Linked DNA regions of Mus musculus. The protein of the gene in region 1 purifies or fractionates together with the protein of each later gene. This does not show direct contact. Links are inferred from orthologs where the notes say so. Each region holds a gene or a part of one and is shown in the gene's direction. Other genes may lie near its edges.

Region 1 (4,239 bases):
CTTGAACTCACCGAGATCTGCCTGCTATTGTCTCCTGAGTGCTGGGATTAAAGTCGTGCCTCAACATGCCCAACTAAGAAGAAAGTTTGTAAGGAAAGAGCTAGTAAATTGAAAATGGCTGGAACAAAGAGCCTGGAATTGGGTTGTAAAGGTGCCCACCTGGCATGGGAAAGTACACAAACTGCACTGTGAAGGGAGTAACAGGAAAAATTACATCTATGACAAGAACTCGGAAGCTGGGTGTGGTGGCACATGCTTTTAGTTCTAGCAATCAGGAGGAAGAGACAGGTGGATCTTCAAGGGTAGCCTTGCCTATTTAGTGGGCTCCAGGACAGCCAGAACTACATAGTGAGACTTGTCCCCCTTCCCAAAGAACTCCGTACTTTGGAAAGAGCATGCTGGCAATCATGATGATCTGGTTGGCACAAGTGAGAATAGAGATTATGATGATCAAAAAAGTGTTATCACAGGTGGGGACAGAAACAAAACTAGATGCTTCAGAAATAGAGGTGAGTCGAGGAACCTGGGGTGTGTGTGTGACTGGTGATGGAACACTTCCAGAGAGTGGGGCAGGAACAGGATCAACGTTTGACAGGTTTTAGTGTCTGTGAGAGGTCCAAAAATGCACGTTAGATAGTTTGGAACTACTGAGGGGCTTCTAGATGGTCTGGATTGTAAGTAGAAGCCATCAACTGTTTATGGTGAGGGTAAGAGTCCTGAGAATGGGACTTTTACTTTATTATTATTATTATTATTATTATTATTATTATTATTATTAGAGCCAGTGATTCACTCCAATCCAGGCTGGTTCAGAATAGAATTCGGTTGAATACTGGCACTTTAAAAGATCACAAGGGTAAAGAGACGAGGCATCCTTATTAATAGGGTCAAGATAACCCCCCTAAGATCTTGCAGATTGTAAAGAGCTGATAAACAGCTCTTCCGCGTGAGCATCGTCATCCCCCAGTTTAAGAGATTGAGCAGTTCTATTCTTTAGCACTGTTGGGGAGAACAGAGGTCAGATTGACAGAATGTAGCAGAGAGTAGGAGTGGGAGTCTTTCCTGACAGTGGGTCCTACTTGCTTCCAATAATCACACTCTGGGCCACTTGCAACGGCTCCTTGAAGGAGCCGCGGTGCAGAGGGGGTTAACTCAGTTGTCAGGAGAAGGCAGGCGCCTAAAAACATTTGGATTTCAAGCTGTAGACATTGGCGGCCTTTTAGTCAGAGCCGCAGATAGGGCGACAGCGGAGGAGTGTCGGGACAACGGACCAAGCCGGCCTAGGGACTCGCTACAGCACCCCGCCTCCTCGCTTCCGCAAGTGGAGAGCGAAGAGGGCAGGGGCGGGTCCTGTAATACTGACCACGCCCCTTCCGCTCGCTCCGGGGAGCGCAGCTGGGCGTGGACTCAAGGGCGGGGTCTGCGGGGCGGGACCTGCAGGGTGGGGCCGATGGCGCGGGGCGGGGCTCTGAGGACAGCGACAGCCCGCGCACTGGGCAGGAGTTACTGCTGCTACGGTCGCCCGCGTCTTCAAGGTCTCTGCGCTTCCTCACCGGAGACCTGGACTCGGCCGCCATGTCCGCCGCGGAGGAGGTTGATGGCCTGGGTGTGGTCCGGCCGCACTATGGCTGTGAGTGCCGAGGGCTTGGGGGTGCGCGGGCGAGGGACCAAGCTCGGGTTTTCCCAGGGGCTCAGCCGGGCGGGTGCGCCGGGTGGCTTGGGACCGCACGGACCCGGAAGAGCAGCTGGCTGTATGGCTGGTAGCAAGGTTGGCGCCCGAGCCTTCTCGAGCTCCGGAGGCGGCGGGTAGAAACCTGGAGGCCTCTGCCTTCGCTAGGCGCTGCGGCAGGGGAGCCCCACCCAGCTCCTCCACCGGTTAGTTCTACTGAGATTGGGGAAGACGGCCTAGGGTGAGGTGGCAGGAGAACTGACTGTGCAGGGCGTGTCCTGGGCACTGGACCCAGGGGTTCTGCTCGGGCGTGGTGGGAAGGTGCTGCCCGGATTGCTGCCTGCGAGGGTGACCCAGGGCGCAGACCCGCGCAGCCTCAGGCTAGCTGCGAGGTGCAGTTTTAGGCAAGCAGCTTATGCTTTCTCCTGCTGGGTTCTTTCTTTAGCATTTCAAAAGTAAAATTAAAACATAAACACACCCAAACCGGCTCCCCCCACTTCCTCATTTTCTGTGACTATCCCTGCAACCTTAGTAAACTAACCAGCTGTACGTGGGATAGTAGTTACAAGAGGATCCCTTTGAGTCCCAGGTTTAGATTTTATGTTTTGGGAAAAGTACTTTCTTAAAGGATACTTTAACACATCCAGTTATGCATTGGATAGTGTTATAATGTGTGCTACGTTTGTGAAATTAGGGATGAAAAAGATCAAACAGTGCCTTCAAAACCTGTCCGAGAAAGAGACAGGTGTACAGAGATTGATAATTAGATGAGGGGTTGGGAATTTAGCCCAGTGGTAGAGTGCTTGCTTAGCAAGTGCAAGTCCTCAGCTCCAAGAAAAAAACCAATAAGGTGCAATAAAGATAAACGATGCATGAACTAACTCTAACTGGGTATAAAGAGTAATGGGGGTGAAGAGAAGGGACTTAACAAGGCCATGGGAAGGTAGGTGCTGACTTTTAAACAGAGGCTTGGAGGATGCAGTGTGGGGCAGGGTGAGCAAGACATGACTTTGAGAGGGCAGACACAAACTAAATATGGTATTGGAGAACATAGGGTTACTGTACGTGGAAAACCGAGGGCATCGAAGTGCAGAGGTGGAATTGAAAGGGAGAGGAGAAAAGTAAAAAGGATTTCCCGAAGTAGCCCAGGCTAGAGTGAGAATAGCTCTGATTGCCTTCCCAAGGAGTTATCCCTTGGGAAGACAGTGGAGAAGGCAGATGGCTACAAGGTAAAGTCCACAGGCCCTGGAGTCAGGTGGGCTGCAAAGGCCCTTGATTAGCCCTCTGACTGAGTTCTTCCAGCCTCAGTATCCTCAGCTGTCAAATAGTGGTGATCACAGGATGGGTCTGGGCTAGAGTAGGAGCATGTGTGTAAACTGTGTAGTCCAGGAGCTTCGGTTATGAAGAGAGGGGAGAGTGTGACCAACAAGGATAGACTATAGTTGATGCCTCTTGAAGCTACAAGAAAATGTAGTACATATATATTTAAAACACTTAAAATTTTGGTTCCTTGATAATTTCTTTTTTAAAGATTTATTTATTTATTTTATGTATATGAGTACACTGTAGCTGTACAGATGGTTGTGAGCCTTCATGTGGTTGTTGGAAATTGATTTTTTTAGGACCTCTGCTCGCTCTGATCAACCCCTCACTCAGGCCCAAAGATTTATTTATTATTATAAATAAGTACACTGTAGCTGTCTTCAAACGCACCAGAAGAGGATGTTAGATCTCATTATGGGTGGTTGTGAGCCACCATGTTGTTGCTGGGATTTGAACTCAGAACCTTTGGAAGAGCAGACAGTGCTCTTACCCGCTGAGCCATCTTGCCAGCCCCACATAGCATGTGTTTTTTTTTTTTTTTTTTTTTTTTAAAGATTTATTTATTTATTTATTTTATGTGAGTACACTGTAGCTGTCTTCAGACACACCAGAAGAGGGCATCAGATCCCATTATAGATGGCTGTGAGCCACCATGTGGTTGCTGGGAACTGAACTCAGGACCTCTGCAAGAGCAGTTTTGACTCTTGACCACTGAGTCTACTCCTTGAGAATTTCATAATATAAAAAATGAAATGTGATCATATCTATCTCCTATCTCTTCCCTCCAGTGATTTATCTGAAACTGTATCTCACTGTATAATTCTGGCTGACCTGAACTTACTGTTTAAGACAGTCTGGCCTTGGACTCAGAAATCTGCCTGCCTCTGCCTTCCAAATGCTGGGATTACAGGCTTGTGTTATCACACCTGGATCTTTTTCTTTAAGGAAATTCTTTTATGTGTTTGGGTGATTTACTGGCTTGCATAATGTCTGTGCACCATGTGTGTACCTGGTACCTGCAGAGCCCAGAAGAGAATGTCTGATTCTCTGAAACTGGAGTTATAACTCATGAGCCTTCCTGTGGTGTGCATGCTGGGAATTGAACCTAGGTCCTCTGTAAGAACAGCCAATCCTCTTAACTGCTGAGCCATCTCTCCAGCCCCTAGGCTCTCTAAAATAAAAAATAAAAAAACCCCACTAAGTTCAGCTAGTGCTGTCCCTGTGTGTATGCGTATCTTGACTGTCCA
Region 2 (3,500 bases), on another chromosome or scaffold:
CAGATTGCTTAGTGAGGTGAGGTGGCCCGGAATTGGGAAGCCCAGCTTCCTCGCTCCATGGGAGCGTTCCACACGTGGACTGTTATTGTTGCATGTAAGGGTGATTTTTTACCCAGAAAAGCCACACATTTGGGTGGCTCTGCTTGTGAATTAGAGAGAACTCAAAGGCAGCAGGTTCCGTGAGGACCAGAGGCTTTTATGGGACAGATGTGTAGGACAGAGATGGTTAGGCGGCCAGCCAGGCTCTTAAATTAGATATTTGGAGCAGTTGTGGGAACTGTCCCAAAGGGACTTTGGAGTGGTACTTTGAGGTTTGGATCAAATGGGAAGAAGTCTTTGGAGTGGCATTGTGCCTCTAAGGATGAGTTGGGGTAGTGGTAAATGAGAGAGTCTAGAATTTTTATTTATTTATTTGTGTATAAAAGCAAGTTACTTCACTGTGAAAGCAGAGGAGCTGGGCATGGTGATGCATGCTGGCTGAGTGGCATAGCCAAGTTTGGTGACATATGCCTTTAATACCAGGATGGAGAGGCAGAGTTAGGCAGCTCTCTGTGAGTTTGAAGCCAGCCTGGTCGTCGCTACCGCTGCTGAAAAAAAAAAGGGCAGAAGTCTATAGACAGTTGGCTTAGAGGATGCCGCTGTGTTCTGTTCTTAGCACTAGCACCCACTGGTGGCTCCTGACTCCCTGTAACTAGCTCCAGGGGAGATAATATTCTCCTGTCCTCTGCAAATACCCTCATGTGACAGCCATGCACACAGACATGTACATATACATTAGGGGAAAAGCAGACGACGTGTCAGTCAGGGCAGCAAGTCACCATGCTTGGGCAGGATGGAGATGGGGAGAGACTTGGAATGAGATTTGGAATGGGAGTGACTAGTTTAGCTTTACTAATCTCCCCCATCCCCGTGTTTGTCCCACCCCCACCCCCAGATGGGGTTTCTCTGTGGAGCCCTGGCTGTCCTGGTTCTCTCTGTAAACTAGGCTGGCCTCAAACTCAGATCACCTGCCTCTGCTTTCCAGAGTGCTGGCATTAAAGGCATGCACCACCACCGCCCATCTAGGGTGTGTGTGTGTGTGTGGTGTGTGTGTGTGTGCGCGCAAGAGAAACCCTTGCTCACTGAGTGCCTCTTGCCTCGGCCTCCCAAGTGTTAGTTGAAGGTGTACCCCATCACACCTGGCACCTTACTAATCACTCTGCTCTCTCCGCAGGGTGGTGAAGGAAGAGATCTCCGATGACAATGCCCGCCTACCTTGCTTCAATGGAAGGGTTGTCTCCTGGGTAAGGGGACTCATTACTGAGCTGCTTCCAACCTCAGTCTGTCTCTGCAGCCTCCCCCCTGCTCAGTCGCGGGTGGCCTGGCTTCCCTCTTCTCTAATGTGGATACAGTGAGCACTCCTCGGCCTCCTCTTCCTATAGCCTCCCGTACTGGATTGTTTTTTCTGGCCTCTTCACCCAGGTCTCCAGGACCCTGTGTCCTTCTTTTCTGGTCCTTTTCCTTAGTTTCTTCTCGTACACCGCTCCCCAGCAGAACCATGTTTTCTTACGTGCTCTCTTCTAGCTTGTGTCGTCAGATACCCCACAGCCTGAGGTGGCTCCCCCAGCCCATGAGTCTCGGACAGAACTGGTTCCTCCGCCTCCACCCTTACCCCCTTTGCCACCAGAAAGGACCAGTGGAATTGGGGACTCAAGGCCTCCATCCTTCCAGTGAGTCCTTTATATTCTTGAGTCCAGGGGATGGGAGCGAAGAGGGAATTCAGTCTAGACCTCTTGAGAGAGGGGGACTGAGGTTCCGGTGCTCTGTCCGACTGACTTTGGTTGGAAACTCTCTCTACCTGTGTAGCCCTAATGTATCCAGCAGCCATGAAAATCTAGAGCCTGAGACAGAGACCGAATCTGTCGTATCACTGAGGCGAGACCGACCTAGGAGGAGAGACAGCAGTGAACATGGCGGTGAGGGGATGGACCCTGGAGGCAGGGTAGACTGAGCTGGGCAGACAGGCAAGCCTTAGCATGCTGGGTATGAAGAAGGGGAGGCCTGGCTCCTGAGTCTCTTGTTTATACACAGCTGGTGGCCACAGGCCTGGTGGCCCCTCGAGGCTGGAGCGCCACCTGGCTGGCTACGAGAGCTCTTCCACCCTCATGACCAGTGAGCTGGAGAGTACCAGCCTAGGAGACTCGGATGAGGATGACACCATGAGTAGGTATGGCTGCACACTTCCCTCCCTGTTCCCTCCCTCCTCCCCCCTCCTCCCCTCCCCCTCCCCCCCAGCCAGTCTTCTTGTTTCATGTGGCTCCCTGACCACTTCCACCTCCAAATGCTATGCTTCTCAATTGCTATCAGGTTCAGCAGCTCCACTGAGCAGAGCAGTGCCTCCCGCCTCCTCAAGCGCCACCGAAGGCGAAGGAAGCAGCGGCCGCCACGCATGGAGAGGGTGAGGGTTCTTTTGGGATGAAGTGGGCTCTGGTTGAAACACAAGCTTGTGGCTTCTCTCTCTGTTGACGGGGAGCAGTTCACACCTTTCATGTCTCCCCGCTGTAGACCTCATCCTTCAGCAGTGTCACCGATTCCACAATGTCTCTCAACATCATCACGGTCACGCTCAACATGGGTATGGAGGGTCCTGACGGGGAGAAGGGAAGGAGAGAGAGGGGCTTGGGGTTTCTGGGGCTCAGTCATATGGCCCCCCTCCACAGAGAAGTACAACTTCCTGGGCATCTCCATTGTGGGCCAAAGTAACGAGCGTGGTGATGGGGGCATCTACATCGGCTCCATCATGAAAGGGGGCGCGGTGGCTGCGGACGGGCGGATCGAGCCTGGAGACATGCTTTTGCAGGTGCGCTGACGGCCTGGCTGCTGGCTGGGGCGGATGCTCTGCCCCTCCCACACTGCCCATGACCCACCACCCCTTCCCTTCAGGTAAATGATATGAACTTTGAGAACATGAGCAACGACGATGCTGTACGAGTGCTGAGAGACATCGTGCACAAGCCAGGGTGAGTGCGGCTGGCCCCAGGCCTCTTGGGCTTAAGCCTGTTTACCTTTGTTTTGCAATTTTTATAAAGACGTGAGGCCAGGCATGGTGGTGCATGCCTTTAAACATGTTATTTGAGGCACAGTTGGGCTGAGTGTGAGGCAGCCTGGTCTGCAGAGTGAGTTTCAGTCCATCCGGGTCTACATAGCGAGAAAACAAAAACCAAACAAAACAAGGGCTGTAGAGATGGCTCAGCAGTTAAGAACACTGTTTGCTCTTCCAGAGATCCTGAGTTCAATTCCCAGCAGCCACATGGTGGCTCACAACCATTTGTAATGAGATCTGATGCCCTCTTCTGGTGTGTCTGAAGAGACTGACAGTGTACTCACGTACATAAAAAAAAACAAATACGTCTTTCAAAAGAGAACAAAACCCACAAATTGCAAATCTCCCTGGCATGTCACTCCACACTAGAGCATGAAGCAGATGTGGGTGAGCACCTGAGAAGAGGCCACCCACTGTG
Region 3 (4,018 bases), on another chromosome or scaffold:
ACTGAGGCACGGCAGGCCCAGAGCATCTCACCTGAAGCACCCTTCTTGCCTAAATCCAGCTTTCTGTCACACTCTCCCAGAAGGTGCGTGTCCTTCTAAGCTAAGCTGAGGGATCCGGCCCTCAACCCTGACCCCGTGTGTAGCTCTCAGCCAAATAGCTGGCTTGCTAAGTAGAACACTGGTACTTAGGTGAGGGGGACAGGGGCTGCTTCTCTCTGGAGGATTTGGGGCTCCGGTGACCACCAACTTTTCCCTGAGCAGCTTGTCACTCCCAGAATCCCCACGGCTGGCAGATGGACTAGTGCACAACTCAGCTGTGGCTGCACATAATAAATAGAGGATAGATGGTGGGCCCCAGCCCAGCGATGTCTGGCAGTCACCCAGAGACACTAGCTAACGGCCCAGGCTTAGTCTTGCCTGGGTGTGATCAGGCAGTTCTCCAAAAGTGCCTGACTCCATGAGAAGTTTTGTTTGTTCTATTGAGCACAGTTCCTTTCTAGATCCGGGGCAGGGGATATCTGGAGGCATCTTCTTGCAACACCTCCAGTTATTGGACCACTGGGGCTCGCCCTATGCTTGGGATAGGATGGCCTTGAGTCTCTAAGAGGTCAAGATCCATGAAAACCTCTCCAACCAGAGTTCTGCTTCCAAGTTGAACCCCAACACACCTAGCAAATTAGAACCACAGCAGAAGGGGCCCCCCCGGATCTGGCTTTCCGGCTATTGCTAGCAATTGCTAGCAAGGGGGAGTGACTCTCTGTCCATTCAATCCAGGCCCCGCGTGTCCCTCAAACAAGAGGCCACACAAATAGGGTCCGGGCCTCGATGCTGACCCTCATCCACTTAAGTGCTCGATATCCACGTGACATCCACACCCAGAGGGTCCTGGGGTGGTTGGGTGACCCCCAGAATGCAGGCCTAGTAACCGAGACATTGAATGGGGCAGTGTCCACAAGGGCGGAGGCTATTCCTGTACATCTGGGCCTACGGAGCCAGCACCCATCGCCAAAACTCTTCATCCTCTTCCTCAATCTCGCTTTCTCTCTCGCTTTTTTTTTTTTTCTTCTTCTTTTTTTTTTTTTTTTTCAAAAGGAGGGGAGAGGGGGTAAAAAAATGCTGCACTGTGCGGCGAGGCCGGTGAGTGAGCGACGCGGAGCCAATCAGCGCCCGCCGTTCCGAAAGTTGCCTTTTATGGCTCGAGTGGCCGCTGTGGCGTCCTATAAAACCCGGCGGCGCAACGCGCAGCCACTGTCGAGTCGCGTCCACCCGCGAGCACAGCTTCTTTGCAGCTCCTTCGTTGCCGGTCCACACCCGCCACCAGGTAAGCAGGGACGCCGGGCCCAGCGGGCCTTCGCTCTCTCGTGGCTAGTACCTCACTGCAGGGTCCTGAGGATCACTCAGAACGGACACCATGGGCGGGTGGAGGGTGGTGCCGGGCCGCGGAGCGGACACTGGCACAGCCAACTTTACGCCTAGCGTGTAGACTCTTTGCAGCCACATTCCCGCGGTGTAGACACTCGTGGGCCCGCTCCCGCTCGGTGCGTGGGGCTTGGGGACACACTAGGGTCGCGGTGTGGGCATTTGATGAGCCGGTGCGGCTTGCGGGTGTTAAAAGCCGTATTAGGTCCATCTTGAGAGTACACAGTATTGGGAACCAGACGCTACGATCACGCCTCAATGGCCTCTGGGTCTTTGTCCAAACCGGTTTGCCTATTCGGCTTGCCGGGCGGGCGGGCGGGCGGGCGGGCGCGGCAGGGCCGGCTCGGCCGGGTGGGGGCTGGGATGCCACTGCGCGTGCGCTCTCTATCACTGGGCATCGAGGCGCGTGTGCGCTAGGGAGGGAGCTCTTCCTCTCCCCCTCTTCCTAGTTAGCTGCGCGTGCGTATTGAGGCTGGGAGCGCGGCTGCCCGGGGTTGGGCGAGGGCGGGGCCGTTGTCCGGAAGGGGCGGGGTCACAGTGGCACGGGCGCCTTGTTTGCGCTTCCTGCTGGGTGTGGTCGCCTCCCGCGCGCGCACAAGCCGCCCGTCGGCGCAGTGTAGGCGGAGCTTGCGCCCGTTTGGGGAGGGGGCGGAGGTCTGGCTTCCTGCCCTAGGTCCGCCTCCGGGCCAGCGTTTGCCTTTTATGGTAATAATGCGGCCGGTCTGCGCTTCCTTTGTCCCCTGAGCTTGGGCGCGCGCCCCCTGGCGGCTCGAGCCCGCGGCTTGCCGGAAGTGGGCAGGGCGGCAGCGGCTGCTCTTGGCGGCCCCGAGGTGACTATAGCCTTCTTTTGTGTCTTGATAGTTCGCCATGGATGACGATATCGCTGCGCTGGTCGTCGACAACGGCTCCGGCATGTGCAAAGCCGGCTTCGCGGGCGACGATGCTCCCCGGGCTGTATTCCCCTCCATCGTGGGCCGCCCTAGGCACCAGGTAAGTGACCTGTTACTTTGGGAGTGGCAAGCCTGGGGTTTTCTTGGGGATCGATGCCGGTGCTAAGAAGGCTGTTCCCTTCCACAGGGTGTGATGGTGGGAATGGGTCAGAAGGACTCCTATGTGGGTGACGAGGCCCAGAGCAAGAGAGGTATCCTGACCCTGAAGTACCCCATTGAACATGGCATTGTTACCAACTGGGACGACATGGAGAAGATCTGGCACCACACCTTCTACAATGAGCTGCGTGTGGCCCCTGAGGAGCACCCTGTGCTGCTCACCGAGGCCCCCCTGAACCCTAAGGCCAACCGTGAAAAGATGACCCAGGTCAGTATCCCGGGTAACCCTTCTCTTTGGCCAGCTTCTCAGCCACGCCCTTTCTCAATTGTCTTTCTTCTGCCGTTCTCCCATAGGACTCCCTTCTATGAGCTGAGTCTCCCTTGGATCTTTGCAGTTTCTGCTCTTTCCCAGACGAGGTCTTTTTTTCTCTCAATTGCCTTTCTGACTAGGTGTTTAAACCCTACAGTGCTGTGGGTTTAGGTACTAACAATGGCTCGTGTGACAAAGCTAATGAGGCTGGTGATAAGTGGCCTTGGAGTGTGTATTGAGTAGATGCACAGTAGGTCTAAGTGGAGCCCCTGTCCTGAGACTCCCAGCACACTGAACTTAGCTGTGTTCTTGCACTCCTTGCATGTCTCAGATCTATCCATACAGTTTCACCTGCCCTGAGTGTTTCTTGTGGCTTTCTGAACTTGACAACATTATTTATTTTTCTCTACAGATCATGTTTGAGACCTTCAACACCCCAGCCATGTACGTAGCCATCCAGGCTGTGCTGTCCCTGTATGCCTCTGGTCGTACCACAGGCATTGTGATGGACTCCGGAGACGGGGTCACCCACACTGTGCCCATCTACGAGGGCTATGCTCTCCCTCACGCCATCCTGCGTCTGGACCTGGCTGGCCGGGACCTGACAGACTACCTCATGAAGATCCTGACCGAGCGTGGCTACAGCTTCACCACCACAGCTGAGAGGGAAATCGTGCGTGACATCAAAGAGAAGCTGTGCTATGTTGCTCTAGACTTCGAGCAGGAGATGGCCACTGCCGCATCCTCTTCCTCCCTGGAGAAGAGCTATGAGCTGCCTGACGGCCAGGTCATCACTATTGGCAACGAGCGGTTCCGATGCCCTGAGGCTCTTTTCCAGCCTTCCTTCTTGGGTAAGTTGTAGCCTAGTCCTTTCTCCATCTAAAGGTGACAAAACTCCTGAGGCCATAGTACAAGTTAAGTCTGATTTCTGTCACTCTTCTCTTAGGTATGGAATCCTGTGGCATCCATGAAACTACATTCAATTCCATCATGAAGTGTGACGTTGACATCCGTAAAGACCTCTATGCCAACACAGTGCTGTCTGGTGGTACCACCATGTACCCAGGCATTGCTGACAGGATGCAGAAGGAGATTACTGCTCTGGCTCCTAGCACCATGAAGATCAAGGTAAGCTAAGCATCCTTAGCTTGGTGAGGGTGGGCCCTGTGGTTGTCAGAGCAACCTTCTAGGTTTAAGGGGAATCCCAGCACCCAGAGAGCTCACCATTCACCATCTTGTC
Region 4 (3,977 bases), on another chromosome or scaffold:
GTCAGTGGTACAAGAAAGGAGTGACAGGTAGCTCACTGTCTTTTCACTCAGCATTGGAATTCTTCTGGACAGTCTGCAGTAAGATGAGCTGGACAGCTCTATGCACCGTCTCACCCAGCAGTTGGAAGGTTGGAAACAGGAGATAAAGGCCAGATGTAGGAGACAGCAAAGTTAGTAGACTCCCTGATATTAGCTAAGTACTGGAGACTCCAAAAACTTCTGACCCTGTCATCAGAAATATACACTTGCAATCCTTTCCTTCAGACCTCAGGGTTATTCAGTTCATACTAGAAGGCCCCACATTAGGTAGATGTAGTCAGGAAAATGGATGGCATTGCTGAGGGGAGAGATCATATAAAGACCATACCCAGAGTACTCTTGGGCATGTTTGGTTAATGCTTGTGGGGAATCCTGGGTAAACACGTGGATGTCAGATTAATCTGTATAAATTTCTATCAATTATAAGTCACTGCAACTCCCAGAGTCCAAATTTCTTTAGTGGTGATACCAGTAGACTCCATGAGGAAATTGTGAGGATTTAGTGAGGAAAAACATGTCATGTTTAACATATGGCCTGGCCTATAGTTTGTGCCCAACATGTAGTAATTATTTAATTGCTGGTTAGGCTATTGGCAATAATTGGTTTGCCCATCTAAGAAACAACTAGAAAGCTAGTCTAGGATTCAGAGCTGGGCAATGAACTCCAGCTGGAATTGGCGCTGGCTGGAACTCAGTTCTTTCTACATCAGGTAACTTCTCACATTTTTCACTGCACAGGCATCATATACATAAAAACTGCATTATCCCACCAAAAAAAAAAAAAGCCTTAAATTTTCAACCAAGATAAAAGTGTCTCTACGATAAGCGTCCTGGTTCAGACAATAAAATTCTGGCTGGAGCATGAGATGGTCTAGCTTTACAGCCACGTGGGTTTCTGCGTGGGAGCCTAAAGGTCTACCCTGTTCCAACCGCCAGGGGGCGGTACTCCCCGCTGTGGCCTGGCAGAGCAGCGCCGCCCACTCTCTATCTCACCCCCCACACGTGGGTCCGAATGGTTAGGCCCGCCGGGCAGGTAGCGCGCTTCCGCGGCGTCCCGCCACCCCCCTCCCTTCCCCCATTGGTAGGGGCTGCGGGTCCGGGCGGAAGTGGGGCAGGCGGGCGGGAGCGAGGCGTCACCGTTGTATATTCATGAGGCGCGCGCAGCCCAGCATGTTAATGAGGCGGGGCGCGGCGGCCGGCTAAGAAGGCTGCTGGGCGGCGGCGGTGGTTGCTGGCTCGGGGCAGCCGGGCGCGAGCGGCGTAGACAAGGGGTCACTTGCCGGCGCTAACCAGGACATGGAGCCGTCCGGCGGGGGCCTGGGGCCCGGCCGCGGTACCCGGGACAAGAAGAAGGGTCGGAGCCCGGATGAGCTGCCTGCGACGGGCGGCGACGGCGGCAAACATAAGAAATTTGTGAGTGTCCCTCCCACCCTGCTCTTCAGCCTGGCGGAGTGGCCGCCCTCTGGACTCGGGCGACCCTCGCTGCCCTCCGGGGGCGTCTGCCTGCAGCTGGGGAGCCGCCCCCGCGCCTCCCTTCCTGGTTTTGCTGGCTCCTGGGCTTCGCGGTCCCACATTCTCCCCCTCCGGGACATCCGGCAGCCTGGATGTCCCACCTGGCCCTCGCCTCGGCCACCTTGGAGCTTCCCTCGCTGTTCAGTCCGCAGGCTCTGCGCTCCCGTCCCCGTGCCCCCGCGGGCTCTCAGTCCCACTTCCTTTCTTCTTCTGCCTCTGGTACCCCAACACGTCTTTTCTCTCTCTCTTTTTCTTTCTTCCTCTTTGCACCCCTGTAAGCTGTTCTAAGTTCTCTTCTCACCCATATCCCATTTGAGGTATCTTTTTCTTTTAAAAGGTCATTTCCTTTCTCACTAGTAATCCTTTTCACCTGCTAACTTTCCTCCCGCCCTGTCCCCTTCTGCCCGGTGTCACCTGGTAATGCTTCCCCTCAGGAATGTTACCTGACTTGAGTCTCGTCTCCCCTCCTTCTTTGGACGTTTGTCCTTGTGATTGTTGGTCACTGGGGCATGGCTGTAGTTGGCTTCCCTATCCACAAAACCTGTTTCTTTTTGCCCTGTTGCTTATCACTTCAGAGGGTTAGAACTTCTTTCAAGATACTATGCCCTTCATGACCCGAGATGGTGATTAAACCTCCCCCTTGAGGAGCGACTTAGACTTCAACTCCAATAAGTTTATGAGTAATTTAATTGCTTTTTATACACTTTAAAAAAAATAACCATTTTCTCAACTTATCCTTTACCATCTTCTGGGCCCCAAGGTTCCTGACATTCCTTTTCCTACCACCTGTAGGAGAGAGCGAATCTTTCCTTAGTGCCCAGTACTTCTAACCCCAGGCCGAGGGACTGTTGATGTTCATGTGAGCTGTTTTACTACCTGTTGCCGTTCCTAAGTCCTCTGTCCTCTCTATCCAGGGAGCTACTTACCTCTTACTGTAAAAGCTTTGAAAGATACCAAGGGGGGGGGACTGGGGGGGGGGAAGAAGAGAAAGAAATAGTTTCTGTGTAACTATTTGCCTATTGTTAACTAGATATTTAGTTTGGCCTTCCAGGTAACATAGTAATCTTTTTGACCAACTAAATGGCTTATAGCTCTTATGCCTCCCCCTACCCCCAATATTCTGATCCAAGTCCACAAGTTTGGGAAGTAACTGATAAGTGATGGATAATGGGAAGAAAGTGTTTGGTGACCTGCAGGGTTCAGAGCATATTATTCTGAATTAAAAGAGTGACTCATCTCTTCCTATTTCTAGCAAGACCAGGTGCTCCTAGTCTGTCCTTTCCAGTGACATACAGGGTGTCAGTAACTGTTTGATCCAGCAAGTACTATTGTAGAAATAGGATCCTTTGGCGACCAGAGCAGTATATCCTTAGGTTCTTTCTTTAAGGGTAATAAGAATTAGTCTTCCAGTCCGAACGTTTTCCTTCCACAACTTTCCTTCTATAGTGTAAGTTGTAGGACCTGTATTTCTTCTATTTCTGTATTTTTTTGTTTTGATTTTGTTGCCATGGATACTGTTTGACCTTCTCCATCCAAACTCTGGCTATTCTTGCTGATTTGTGATGACCTCTGTGACTTGTTACTGTTTGCTTTGTTTCAAATTTTATATGTGCTTCTTAATTAGATCTAACACAGTGTTTTATAAATTGGTAAAAATCTACTTAAGTAAACTCTCCCTGTAAGGCGAGAATTCCCAGGGAACCCAACTTCTTTTCACCTGTTTTTTTTTTTTTGGCATGTCACAGAGGCTTGTGTAGCTGAGTGGATTTGGCCCAGAGTTGTTATTTGCTGTACAGAGGGTGGAGCTGAACCTAGTTCTCTTTTACTGAGGTTCTGGTTTTAACCCTTACCTTGACTGAAGTTTTGAAAGTAGGTAGTGCAAGCTATGAGAGTTGGACCGCTTCCAGGAAAGCCGGCTGCTTCAATTCCTAATTGTCAACTACAGTCTCCCTTCAGGCGTGAGGATAGTCTTTCTCACTGCTTTTTATGAGAGCTATGAAAGTGGGAGACAGGGAGCCTTGCAGTCTTCGTCTCCTTGTCCCTGTGTGTGCACACGTGTGGGAGTGGGTGGAGTGGGTGAGATTGCTGGGGTGCTTCTGTTACCCCGGCTCCGGTTCCCTGAATTTACTGGCTAAATCCAAACTCAAAGCTGTTTCGCCTACTCCACCTTTCCTCCTGTGCAGTATCCGCCAGCACGCCCATTCTGAGTGTGCTATAAAAACCCTCGGGCTTGGACTAAGGGTGCTTGAAGCTTTGTCTTTGAGTGGTTGCAGCCCCTCAGGCTGCTTGCAACCACACCTTTCGGAGCGGGTGGTTTGCATTTGAAGGACTGCAGTTCATACCTTTCTGGCTTATGCAGATTCTAAGTCCAGGCAGCCCGAAGTAACAGAGCTTATCTATTGTCTGGGATCTGCCCTTTACCCTCT
Region 5 (4,058 bases), on another chromosome or scaffold:
AAAAGAAAAGAAAGGAAACCCCGGACAGAGGTGAAGTCAGCTATCTAATTTTAAACGAATCGACCAAATATTCTTTAACTCTGCATGTGACAATTAAAATTAGGGGTTGGTAGCTGCAACCACCACTGGTAGGGCTTTGGTAAAATACCTTTTCCTGCTCTATCTCTCTGAGTTATGGCAGGCCAAGTCAGCCCCAGCCAGCAGCAGAGTTTACTCTCCGGAAATCCGAGCAGAGCTGCAGAGGGGAAAGGTCTAGACAAAGGCCCTCACTGAGCAGCTCCAGCATGGTGGACTGTGGTGGTTCACAGAGTTACGGTGATATGTCTTTAAGATAGAAAATTGAGTCATTTAAAAACTAAGCTGGCCCTACAGCACCGGCCCTGCCTCAGTGATGCATGGGCTTCCTGCCAGTACCTGTACATAAGGACCTATTGTTTACTTGCGTTAATTACAGCGCTGGGATGAAAGAAGGCAGTGGGGCAACTTTCCCTGTTGCCATTGTTTGGGAAGAGACGTGAGCTCAGAATAATAGGCTGGAGACAGCCAATTCACCCCAACTGCTCCAGTTTTGACAAGTGCCAATCGTGAAGGACAACAATGGGGCCATTTCCAAGAGAAGATCCAACTTCACCCTATTGTCATGATTTGGGGGGGGGGGAGCTCTCGAAGGATACAAAATTAGTTTTGAAAATTTAAGAGGTTACCCACAGGTCCTCTCAGCAACACACTCGAGTTTCTCAAACAATACAGAAAAATCGCTGTCCTTGGTCCCCACGCCTGGTTCTACTGACCCAGTGAGTCTGGGTAAGATGGGGTTTCTAGGAATCACGCTGGTGAACGCAGTGGTGGAGCTGAATCACTTGTTAATAGATGTTCGCAGACACTCTTGGGGACTCCAAGGCCTCCTGGGGTGGGGAGGAAAGGTGGCTGGGCCCCAGGTTCCCTGTCCGGATTCCAGAGGCACAGCGGGAAGGGAAGCGGGACACTCCTGGGAGCGGTAAAGTGTGGTGGGGTCCAATGGTGGTTCAGGGGTGTGGCGGCCGGTGCACCGGTGATGGCAGCCTCGAACCTGCGCCGTCCGAGGCCGCACTCCACCCGGCCCGCGGCGGCGGCCCGCTCTCGATTCCTTTAGTTTCCAATGGAGCGGCGTCTGGACGCCCCGCCCCGGCTCGGCCCCTCCCGGCGGCGCACGCGCAGAGCGACTCGGACTGGCGGGGACTACTTTCCCCGGCCCGCCCGCGCCCCGCCCCTCGTCCTCGCGCGGCGGAACGCTCCGCGCGGAGCGGCAGCGGCAGGATACACGGTGCCGCGCCGCTTATAAATCGCTCCTTGTGCGGCGCCATCTTAAGCCCTCGCTCGGTGGCGGCCGCGTCAGCTCGTGTCCTGTGAAGCCCGCGGCCCGGGGAGGCGGAGACGGAGCACGGTGGGCGCCGAGCCGTCAGTGCAGGAGGCCGAGGCCGAGCGGGCGGCCGCGAGTGAGCAGCGCGCGGGCCTGAGGTGCGGCGCCGCGGCGGGCCGGCTCGCGCCGCGCCAGCGGGAAACTTCGCGGGCCGGGTGGCGGCGGGAGGCCGCGGGGACGCGCGGGCTGGGGCCGGGGCCGGGCGGGCGCGCGCCGGGAGCCCGGATGGACGGCTGGCCGCCGTGGGGGGTGGGGACCGCGGTTCGCGTCCGGGCTGGGGCCGCCGCGGGGGCGGGGTGGGCGGGGGCCTCGCCTCCGTGGCCCGCGGAGCCGGGGGGACGCGAGACCTGGCGCTCGTCCCCTCTGTCCCTCGTGGAGCACGCACAGACAAATTTTTTTTTCTCCCTGCAACGACCTGACTGTGAGTTTGAATCCAAACAACTTTAAGCCGTGGAGTCGCCAAACTTGGATGCAGCGGGCGGGATGCGTCAGGAGCGTGTTCTCGGAGGGTGGCTTCTTGGACTCGCGTGGGGTTGGTGGCTGCGGGGCCGAGGTCCTGGCGGGAATTTGGGACCGTGGACGAGTCACCGGCCACTCCTGGTGTTGGAGGCGGGGGGGGGGGGAGGTGCGCGGGATCCGAAACCTGGGCTTGGGGGAGGGGGACTTGCCCTTAGCCAGTAAGTGTGGGGTCCGCTCCAAGTGTTTCTCCCCAGCGCGTTTGCTTTCTGAGCGAGACGGAGTGGCCGGAGCGCGGACCGCCAGGGCGTGGGAGCCTGGCGACTTGTTCTGAGTGTTGTTTGGGGGACCAGACTTGGAACCGACGCTCCCAAGTTCGGTACCCCAGGCCCGCTCCGGTGAGCCCGCTGGCTGCGGGGCAGCTTTGTCTCGGGCTCGGGTCTCCAGACATCTGTGGGCTCCCCTCCCCCGCGCCCCCCGCAGCCCCCCTCCCGGGGCCTGAGCTCTGAATGGAGAGCGGCTGGGCTGCTGGTATGCGGAGGTCGGCGAGAGGAAATCGAGGAGTGGTTTTAGTGAAACGAGAGCTTTGTGCCATGAATAATGGTGGCTTAGACCAGACAGCAAGCTGAGGAGACGGCAGCTTTGCCTTTGATAAAGTCTGCCTCATGTTTTTCACATGGCCAAGTTGTGAAGCGTTTTGTCTGGGATTTAGGAAGCCATTTCGCTATTTACTTGAGGTTTGCAGATGTCTCAGTGCAGTCTCTCCTCGTCCCGGGAAAGAGCTTGCTTTCTTGGTTCTAATTTAATGTTGCTTAAGCTTGTGGCCTTTGTATTTCGGTTTTGTATGTCCGGCTCAAACTTTGAGTTAAGGCCCGCAGTTACATTTAGTTCACTTTCACCTTAAACATTCAGAAATCCCCGAAATTAAAATGAAGTGCCTCCAAGGTTTGTTTGAGAACGCCCTTTCACAGCGGACAACATTGTTGATGGTACTGGGGATAGTCATTCTGTGACCTACCTAACCTTTGTCCTCAAGGCCGAGTCTGGACAAGGCCTTTAGTGGTGGCAAGGAAGTTGGAAACTTGCAGATGTTTCTCTACAACAAACCCTCCCAGGCTGAAGTCCTTAATTAAGGAAGCAGGCTATCTGGAAAGCTTAGCTTGCCTGGGACAGAGTCCTGGGCCTCACAGTCTGTAAAAAGACTATCTTCAGATAGGGAAACATTTAATCGAATGCAGGCGTGAAGAAATAGAGTTTAACTGTCATGTGATCATTTCTCATAGTCTAGAGCAGTGCTTCTCAGTCAGTCTTCCTGATGTTGTGACCTGTTAAAATAGTTTCTCAACTGTTATGGTGACCCCAACCGTAAAACTTTCCTTGCTACTTCACAACTGACTTTGCTACTGTTGTGAACCATAATGTAAATGTTTTCCCACGGTCTTAGGTGACCCCTGTGAAAGGGTTGTTGAACCCCCAGATTGAGAACACTAGTTTAGAGACTGTATATTGGGTATCTATGTCTCCAGCTTGAAGGGAAGTATCTACTGCTGTAGTGACGATGGGACTAGAGACTGTGAGTGAAGCCTTAGCTCACGAGTCTCAGAATCCCAGAATCCCACCGCCAAGGTGGAGGATGGGGAACTTTCTTAGTCGGAGTGTATTTTGAAATGTGTGCTCAGGAAAACTGGTGGAGCCCTTTTGCAAATAAACTCAGGGCAGAGCATGGACAAGAGCCTGTGCACACTGCAGGTGGCGAGTGGAGTGGAGTGGTATATTTACAGTCGTTTGTTGCTGTACTTCTAAGCAGGAAGTGGACAGTGAAAGTAGATGGAGTCAACTGAAATATCAGTGCTGAGGTGAGGTGAGGTGAGGCCAGGTCGTGGTCTCTGCCCATCACCTAGTGGTAAATTTTTAGTGTCCTTGGCCAGAAGCAAACCCGAGGGACAAACTCCTGAAACGGTGTTCACAAACTCGTAAAAACCTTGCAAACGTACAAACATTTTAACTCCATTTTCTTTTGTTGTTTTGTGGCCCCTGTCAACTCCTTTTTATTTAAAACAATCTCACTGAAGACATCTTCATGCCACAGAGAGTAAAGTAGATGAGCAGCTACAGTTCTGAGGCCTGTGGAGGCAGCCTCTGTCCTGAGAGGACGCAGCTTGAGGAATGTTAGGCAGCCCTGCGATGCTTGCTCTTCAGCAAC
Region 6 (3,952 bases), on another chromosome or scaffold:
CTTATTCACTGTTGTTTTGAGTCTCACTGTATAGCCCAGGCTCGTTTGTCCCCCCCCCCCCCTCACCCCCCGACTTGGGATTACATTTGTGTTATCACCAAGACTGCTTTCTTGTTCTTGCTTTCTAGTTTAAGACAAGCTCTCAGGCGTCCCTTCCCTTTCTGCTCTGAAACTGGATCTTATGTAGCTCAGGCTGGCCCGAAGTCCCTACGTCCCAAAGACATCTGATTCTTCCTGTCTCCACCTCCTGAGTGCTGGGACCCAGAGCTTTGTGCAACCAACTGTGCTACATCCCTTGCACCCGTACAGACCTTTTTACTCAAGCTTTTTCCAGCCGGGGAATGTCCGTTTCAGGGTACAAAATTGGCTTGTGCCTCATTCTTCCTATGGCGCCGCTGGGAGTCTTCTACCCTGAGCTATTTCTGGTCCACTTGCTTGCACAAGCTCTAGTATGAGGCGCGCCGCCAGAGTTATTTATTCGTCTGTTTCGGGACGGTGGGCCGGTTCCCTCTCTGCACTCAGACATTTGCTAAACTCCAGGGAGAAAGTGCAAATACTCAGGCTGGGCAATGGTGTCGGAAAGGTAAAGAAGGACTGCAGAGCCCAGCGTTGCATTTGTTGGGTATCTCGGGGGGGGGAGACCGCGGTGCATTGGCGGCCTCAGCAGACGCCTCCACAAGGAGGAGAGTGGAAGCAGATGGCCAGGCTAAATTGTAAATCTTAACATCTACTTCAGTCAGTCTTTCGACCACTATCAAATGTGAAATAAATAAATAAATAAATAAATAAATAAATAAATAAATAAATAAAACGCAAAACTCTGCCAAGTTACACCATTCCGCAGCTAACAGCCTGAGGAAGCCCCCGCTGCCGCCCCGCCCACCGCCCGGCCCCTCCCACCGCCCGGGCCGGCCCCGCCCCTAGCCTTGCGGGCGTCTGTGGGTCTGCAGCCGCAGGGTCATGGGTGGGGACAGCTCAGGCCCTTTCAATTCCGGAACCGGCGCACGCCTCAGGACCTGAGTCACCAACTGTCACCAGGGGCCGGAAGTCACCACCAACTCTCACGGCTGGGAAAAGGTTTCCTGTGAGCCTGCGGGTGCTCGCGGACTACGACTCCCAGCATGCTCTGCGGCAGCCGCACTTAACCCTTCAGGGACAGGAGCTGCCCTGAGTCCCGCCCCCCACCTGCCCCTTCCTCGGACCCGGCAAGGTGAGTTTTGAGGGGCTGGGAGGGTCTTTTTCCTCTCTAGGGCTTAGGAGTGAGTGAAAGTGAGGGAAACGGGCGTTTTGTTTAGGAAGGATTCTTTATTTTCCAAAAATGGGACAATTTGCAGTAAAAAGATTCTGACGCCCTTTTGCAAATGGGAGACCCACTGCTACTCTGCGAACTCCAGGGCCTAAGTGGAATGACCAGTCTCTCAGAATGCCATGTAATTCTTCTTTATCCAAGAACAGAGTAGCCAGAACCTCCTAGCTCCCAAACATCATCTTTTCCCTTCATCAGCGCTTCCAGCAAGGTTTGTGACTCAAAGCTCAGCTAAGGTTTTTGATGTGATCCTGACCAATGGTGTGTCCGTGTGGATACCTATGAACTCCTTTGGAGGTCCTGTAACCTTTTGGGTTATTAGGGGGCTCTTTGTCTCCCAGGGCCCCCTCCATGTGTGTGTGTGTGTGTGTGTTCCCTCCATGCTCACTAGGCATTATAGCCTTTTGTTTGATTTGAATAACATTGTCTTGTTGAAAAATGTTCCTTCTTTGGAATTATGTGTGACAGATGTTAAGCCTTGCCTACACTGGAACCCCTAAACCAACATTAGGTATAGAAGTCAGTGGGTAATAACACGCTCGAGTTACTGTGCATAGTTTAAGGTTGGGGGTAGGTGGGGGCCCAGGGATTACAAGTTCTAAGGATACGGGAAAAGACAGAAGGGAGTGCAAAGGCCTCCTCTCACCTTTTACTGTTTCCAGAACAGATTTTAAAACTTCCCACCTGATACCAGCCCCCCACCCCTCTACCCCGACTCCACCCCAAGCCCTTGCTTTGCTTGGGCTTTCCCACGGTCTAAAACTAATGCAAGTTTTTGTTTGTTTTTCTACTTTAGTTTTCTTCTTTCTCCCCTTAGCTCCTATCTCAGAATCACTGGCAAACATCCTATCTTCACCCTGGAGGTTAACAATCCCTATTCTGACAGGTCTCGTGTTTCTTCTCTGTACCCTTAAAGAAAACATTCTATTCAGCTGTAGGAGAGTGGTATCAGAGGGAAGAAAACTTTGGGGGCAGGAGTCCTGAACCATAGGAGGCCAGGGGAGTGAGGGCAGACAGGCATAAGTCTCTTCCCCCTCACCCTTGCCAACTGGCTCCCTGTCCCTGCTGCTGCCCCCGCCCCTTGACATCCCAGACTCCCTGCCTATTTAAACAGAGATGGGTGCCCCCATCAGCACATTGTTCTTTGGCCACCTGACATCATGCCTCCCAAGAAGGATGCTCCCGTGAAGAAACCAGCAGGGCCCTCCATCTCTAAGCCTGCTGCCAAGTCTACACCAGGGACCCCTCTAGCCAAGGCCAAGGCTGAGCCGGCTGCCCCCCAGGCACCTGCAAAATCCCAGGAGCCCCCTGTTGATCTCTCCAAAGTGGTGGTGAGTCCTGGGGAAGTGTGAATCTGGAAGGGATAGTTCAGAGATGCGGTGCAGCCTTGGGTATCCGGGAATATGTGGAAAGGATAGGGAATGAATGAACGCTGGAATGAGGTTGGGGCTCCCAGGTCAGGCCAGTTTCCGAAGTGAAGGGAGAGGGGTGCTGTCTGCCTCTGGCTCTTCTGTTCAACTCAGAAGGCTACATCTCTGAACCCCAGGAGGGGAGACTGAAGAGGGCAGGCTTGTTAGACAATCACAGCTGGGGGCAGGGGTAAATTTAGCCTTTGTTCAGCCCCCAGTTATGTGAGGGATGCAGGACTCGGGGTAGCAGGAGGGAAGGGAACAGGTGGCATGGGATTAACCCTGTTCCCAAGAAACCCTCCCCCTGTAATTCCTCTTGGGATTCTCCCAAGGCCCAGAGCTGGGGACAGGACTGAAGTGGCCCGGCTCCCCGCCTTCATCCCTTTGGGTCCCTCCCCAGAAGTGGCTGCCAGTTGGTTGTGATAGAGAGGGACTGAATAAGCCCTGTCATCTCCTCACCTGCCCTTTTTGTCCCCTACAGATCGAGTTTAACAAGGACCAGCTGGAGGGTGAGGAGAAGCCCATTTCCTAAGCCCCATTGTCAAACCCCAAACTCCTGGTCAGATTCTCTGTTCTAACGACAGTCCTGACCTTGAAACCTCCCACACTTGTCCTGTTCTCCTCCCTCCCATGCCTGGCTCTAGCACATGAATTTCTGAAGCAAACCTCCCTCTCTCTGTTGGTGATGGGGATCCTTGGTCACACTGCCTTCTCCTTACATCTCAGAATTCAGAGAGGCCTTTGAGCTGTTTGACCGAGTAGGTGATGGCAAGATCCTGTACAGCCAGTGTGGGGACCTGATGAGGGCCCTGGGCCAGAACCCTACCAACGCCGAGGTGCTCAAGGTCCTGGGGAACCCCAAAAACGAGGGTGAGAGGAGCCTTGAGTTTTGTGGGGGTTTCTGTTTTCTTCTTGGTGTTGAACGTTGAATACAGGGTTCTGCCTGGGCCATTGAGCTACATTTCTAGCCAGCAACTTTCTCTTCTTCCTCTTTTTCTTCTCTCTCTCTCTCTCTTTCTTTCAAGATAGGATTTCAGTATCCCAGCCAAGAATGACCTTACATTCTGATTCTCCTATCTCCACCTCTTGCTACTGCCCACTAGAGTGGTGGGATTACTCCAGTTTATGTAGTGCTGGGTTGAATCCAGGGCCTCAGGCAAGCCAGGCAAGCCCTTATTACAGAGGTACTGTTTTTTTTTACTTTTTGAGACAGGTGCTCACCAAATTACTCAGGTTG
Region 7 (3,157 bases), on another chromosome or scaffold:
AACTCAGGTGACTTTAATGGTAGTAGCTCTTACCCAGCTAGACAGTTGGCAGCCCTAGTTATTGTTTTTTGGGGACAGGGTATTAATATTTGCCCAGGTTGGCCTCTACTTTTATAACTAAATAACCTTAGTGCCATTAAAATATTTCTAAAGGAGCTTGACGCGGTGGCGCACGCCTTTAATCCCAGCACTTGGGAGGCAGAGGCAGGGGAATTTCTGAGTTCAAGGCCAGCCTAGACTACAGAGTGAGTTCCATGGCAGCCAGGGCTATACAGAGAAACCCTGTTTCGAAAAACAAAAAAAAACAAACAAACAAAAAAAAAGTGTGTATATATATATATATATATATATATATTTCTAAAGGATTAAAGTTGGTTTCCAAATTAATTAACATGCATGCATCTTCAGATGACAAAATTTGAAAAGATGTTTGATGTTTGTGATTCTTTTGTATGGCAGTTGGGAGGTTTGGTTACTATCTTATTTACTTGGCTATGTATTAATGTGTCGTTTTCCTTTGTGAAGGTTGATCTTGGAGGTGGATTGAAGCCTCCAGGATACTATGTACAGCGGTCATGTGGACTGTTCACAGCGCCATTCCCACAGGACAGTGATGAGCTTGAAAGGATCACAAAACTCTTCCATTTCCTTGGGATTTTCTTGGCCAAATGTATTCAGGACAATAGACTGGTGGACTTGCCTATCTCTAAGCCTTTCTTTAAACTTATGTGCATGGGCGACATTAAAAGCAATATGAGCAAACTAATCTATGAGTCCCGCGGCGACAGAGACTTGCACTGTACTGAAAGTCAGTCGGAAGCTTCTACAGAAGAAGGCCATGACTCCCTCTCAGTGGGAAGCTTTGAAGAGGATTCAAAATCAGAATTTATCCTCGATCCCCCTAAGCCCAAACCCCCAGCCTGGTTTAATGGGATTTTAACTTGGGAAGATTTTGAACTAGTAAATCCTCACAGAGCCAGATTTTTAAAAGAAATTAAAGACCTTGCTATTAAGAGGCGCCAGATTCTAGGCAATAAAAGTCTTTCTGAAGATGAGAAGAACACAAAGTTACAGGAACTCGTGCTCAGGAATCCATCAGGCTCGGGACCTCCACTGAGCATCGAGGACTTAGGGTAAGAGTTTGTGTACATTCTTCAACCTAACAAATGAGGAAAGCTAAAGGTTTCTGTTTCTCTGTCCCTATGAATCTGTAGGCTGTCAGTGAAGTCTAGGGCAGCGATAGACTATAGCAAATGCTGATTGTCTGTTTGAATATGTATGGCTTCTTTGGTATGATACTTTGCTAGTGTCTGTAAGGCCCTGGGTTGGGTCTCCAACACCGCCTAGAACCTAGCCTGGGGACATATGACAAAATCCCAGCGCTGGGAAGGCATAGGCAGGAGAATCAGAAATTCAAGGTTATCCTTGGCTATATAGAAAGTTTGAGGCCAGCTTGGGATACATAAGACATTGCTTAAAAAACAAAAAACAACAACAAAAAAACAAGATGAAAACATTAATCATTTTATTTTGGAAGGATTATCTGATTTTTCAAATATGATATATTGTGTGTTGTATACAAAAATTCAAAGCCAATATTTGGGCAACTTACATATCATGTAAAGGTCAAAAATGATTGGCATTTATTTATTTACTTACTTATTTATTGGCTCTATCAGCCAATAAATGCTACAGCTATTGATAAATTTCTTTCCTGTATATATAATTGTTATACCTTCAAGTACTGTCATATATTCTTTTTAATGTTTCCTAGTGATTGTAAGAAACAGTGTTTGGTTCTGCACTCATGCTACATGAGTGTTTCAGTCATAAATGGACCACATAAACAAGGTTGCTACCATACAATTAGCATGGATTTAAAATTCTGCCACTTGGTCTCTTCGTCATCTCTTTCCTATGTTAATCTTTTTGTTGAAGGATTTATCTCATGTATATGAGTAATTTATCTGTATGTACACTTGCATGCCAGAAGAGGGCATCAGATCATTGTATAGATGGTTGTGAGCTACCATGTGGTTGTTGGGAATTGAACTCAGGACCTCTGAAAAACTGGACAGTGCTCTCTCGAGCCTCTGTTTACCTGTTTTTAATCAGGGACAGTTACCATTGTAATACACTTGTCTACAGTATTCAGCAAAGTAACATGCTGTACAGGTTTGTGGCTGAGCAGTAATGCTTTGTCATGGAGTCTGTATGTGCAGAAAAATGTATCATCTGTATTTGTTTAAGTACAGCTCATGTTTGTACGACAAAAGAGTTGCCTAGGACTGGAGAGATGGCTCAGCAGTTAAGAGCGCAGTCTGCTCTTCCAAAGGTCCTGAGTTCAAATCCCAGCAACTACATGGTGGCTTGCAACCATCCATAACAAAAAATCTGATGCCCTCTTCTGGAGTGTCTGAAAACAGCTACAGTGTGCTTACATATAATAAATAAATAAATAAATATTAAAAAAAAGAGAGAGTTGCCTAATGGACACACTTCTAAGATTGTGTCCATCATTAACTGTTAGATAACTGCCAGCTGTGGTGGTGTATGCCTTTAAACTGAGAACTGGGCACTGAGGCAGGGAAGTTGCTGTGAGCTCAGTGACCCTGTGATCTGCATAGTGAGTTCCGGGTTAGCCACCAGGGAACATAGTGACATGCTATCAAAAAACAAAAAAGTATTAGATAAACACATGTTAAAGGACTTTGTTTTTCCATATATATACACACACACACACACACACACACACACACACACCACACATACATACACTTTGTATAACTGTGAATAATGAAGCAATAGTTTCTTCTCAGGGAGAAAAGCCTTGTAAACATTCTCCTGTAATAAGTCATTATGGAAATCTTCAGTTGAATAATTTTTTTTTCCTTAAAGAAAAAGTGATTCATGGCAAACTGTGTTTTTATGTAGTCTTTGCAGAGCCCAGAAAGCTTGCAAGCAGTTGTCTTAATAGTTCTATGCACAAGGTTTTCGCCCTTAACGCTTCTCCAAGCCCTGCCTTTGAGCTCCAGCATGTCAGATAAATAGATAAGAAAACAGAGGGAGGCCAGATTTACTCTAAGCTGCTGTTCAGGTTTCTGTTGGTGGAGCGCGGGGCATTTATGGTTTGTTATAAACACTGACGGCTGCTGAA

The links.
Region 2: the proteins of Iqgap1 (region 1) and Dvl2 purify together in Homo sapiens (affinity purification with western blotting; 3 studies listed by BioGRID, with this or other methods). This does not show direct contact. The link is inferred for Mus musculus from reciprocal best matches to the Homo sapiens genes IQGAP1 and DVL2.
Region 3: the proteins of Iqgap1 (region 1) and Actb purify together in Homo sapiens (affinity purification with mass spectrometry; 4 studies listed by BioGRID and IntAct, with this or other methods). This does not show direct contact. The link is inferred for Mus musculus from reciprocal best matches to the Homo sapiens genes IQGAP1 and ACTB.
Region 4: the proteins of Iqgap1 (region 1) and Diaph1 purify together in Homo sapiens (affinity purification with western blotting; 3 studies listed by BioGRID and IntAct, with this or other methods). This does not show direct contact. The link is inferred for Mus musculus from reciprocal best matches to the Homo sapiens genes IQGAP1 and DIAPH1.
Region 5: the proteins of Iqgap1 (region 1) and Ctnnb1 purify together in Homo sapiens (affinity purification with western blotting; 3 studies listed by BioGRID and IntAct, with this or other methods). This does not show direct contact. The link is inferred for Mus musculus from reciprocal best matches to the Homo sapiens genes IQGAP1 and CTNNB1.
Region 6: the proteins of Iqgap1 (region 1) and Myl6b purify together in Homo sapiens (affinity purification with mass spectrometry; 3 studies listed by BioGRID and IntAct, with this or other methods). This does not show direct contact. The link is inferred for Mus musculus from reciprocal best matches to the Homo sapiens genes IQGAP1 and MYL6B.
Region 7: the proteins of Iqgap1 (region 1) and Hectd1 purify together in Homo sapiens (affinity purification with mass spectrometry; 3 studies listed by BioGRID, with this or other methods). This does not show direct contact. The link is inferred for Mus musculus from reciprocal best matches to the Homo sapiens genes IQGAP1 and HECTD1.

Annotation. Positions count from the first base shown.
Region 1 is NC_000073.6:80,800,532-80,804,770, reverse strand, and holds the start of Iqgap1 (ras GTPase-activating-like protein IQGAP1), read left to right. Parts: upstream 1-1,439; 5' UTR 1,440-1,575; coding exon 1,576-1,630; intron 1,631-4,239. UniProt on the Homo sapiens protein: Plays a crucial role in regulating the dynamics and assembly of the actin cytoskeleton.
Region 2 is NC_000077.6:70,003,592-70,007,091, forward strand, and holds part of Dvl2 (segment polarity protein dishevelled homolog DVL-2), read left to right. Parts: intron 1-1,213; coding exon 1,214-1,283; intron 1,284-1,563; coding exon 1,564-1,709; intron 1,710-1,845; coding exon 1,846-1,955; intron 1,956-2,070; coding exon 2,071-2,206; intron 2,207-2,346; coding exon 2,347-2,437; intron 2,438-2,544; coding exon 2,545-2,614; intron 2,615-2,699; coding exon 2,700-2,839; intron 2,840-2,922; coding exon 2,923-2,999; intron 3,000-3,500.
Region 3 is NC_000071.6:142,903,955-142,907,972, reverse strand, and holds the start of Actb (actin, cytoplasmic 1), read left to right. Parts: upstream 1-1,218; 5' UTR 1,219-1,321; intron 1,322-2,280; 5' UTR 2,281-2,286; coding exon 2,287-2,409; intron 2,410-2,496; coding exon 2,497-2,736; intron 2,737-3,190; coding exon 3,191-3,629; intron 3,630-3,724; coding exon 3,725-3,906; intron 3,907-4,018. UniProt on the Homo sapiens protein: Actin is a highly conserved protein that polymerizes to produce filaments that form cross-linked networks in the cytoplasm of cells.
Region 4 is NC_000084.6:37,932,677-37,936,653, reverse strand, and holds the start of Diaph1 (protein diaphanous homolog 1), read left to right. Parts: upstream 1-1,177; 5' UTR 1,178-1,335; coding exon 1,336-1,452; intron 1,453-3,977. UniProt on the Homo sapiens protein: Actin nucleation and elongation factor required for the assembly of F-actin structures, such as actin cables and stress fibers. Binds to the barbed end of the actin filament and slows down actin polymerization and depolymerization.
Region 5 is NC_000075.6:120,932,142-120,936,199, forward strand, and holds the start of Ctnnb1 (catenin beta-1), read left to right. Parts: upstream 1-1,258; 5' UTR 1,259-1,497; intron 1,498-4,058. UniProt on the Homo sapiens protein: Key downstream component of the canonical Wnt signaling pathway.
Region 6 is NC_000076.6:128,495,886-128,499,837, reverse strand, and holds the start of Myl6b (myosin light chain 6B), read left to right. Parts: upstream 1-1,152; 5' UTR 1,153-1,210; intron 1,211-2,420; 5' UTR 2,421-2,466; coding exon 2,467-2,637; intron 2,638-3,196; coding exon 3,197-3,224; intron 3,225-3,441; coding exon 3,442-3,585; intron 3,586-3,952. UniProt on the Homo sapiens protein: Regulatory light chain of myosin. Does not bind calcium.
Region 7 is NC_000078.6:51,746,380-51,749,536, reverse strand, and holds part of Hectd1 (E3 ubiquitin-protein ligase HECTD1), read left to right. Parts: intron 1-525; coding exon 526-1,133; intron 1,134-3,157. UniProt on the Homo sapiens protein: E3 ubiquitin-protein ligase which accepts ubiquitin from an E2 ubiquitin-conjugating enzyme in the form of a thioester and then directly transfers the ubiquitin to targeted substrates.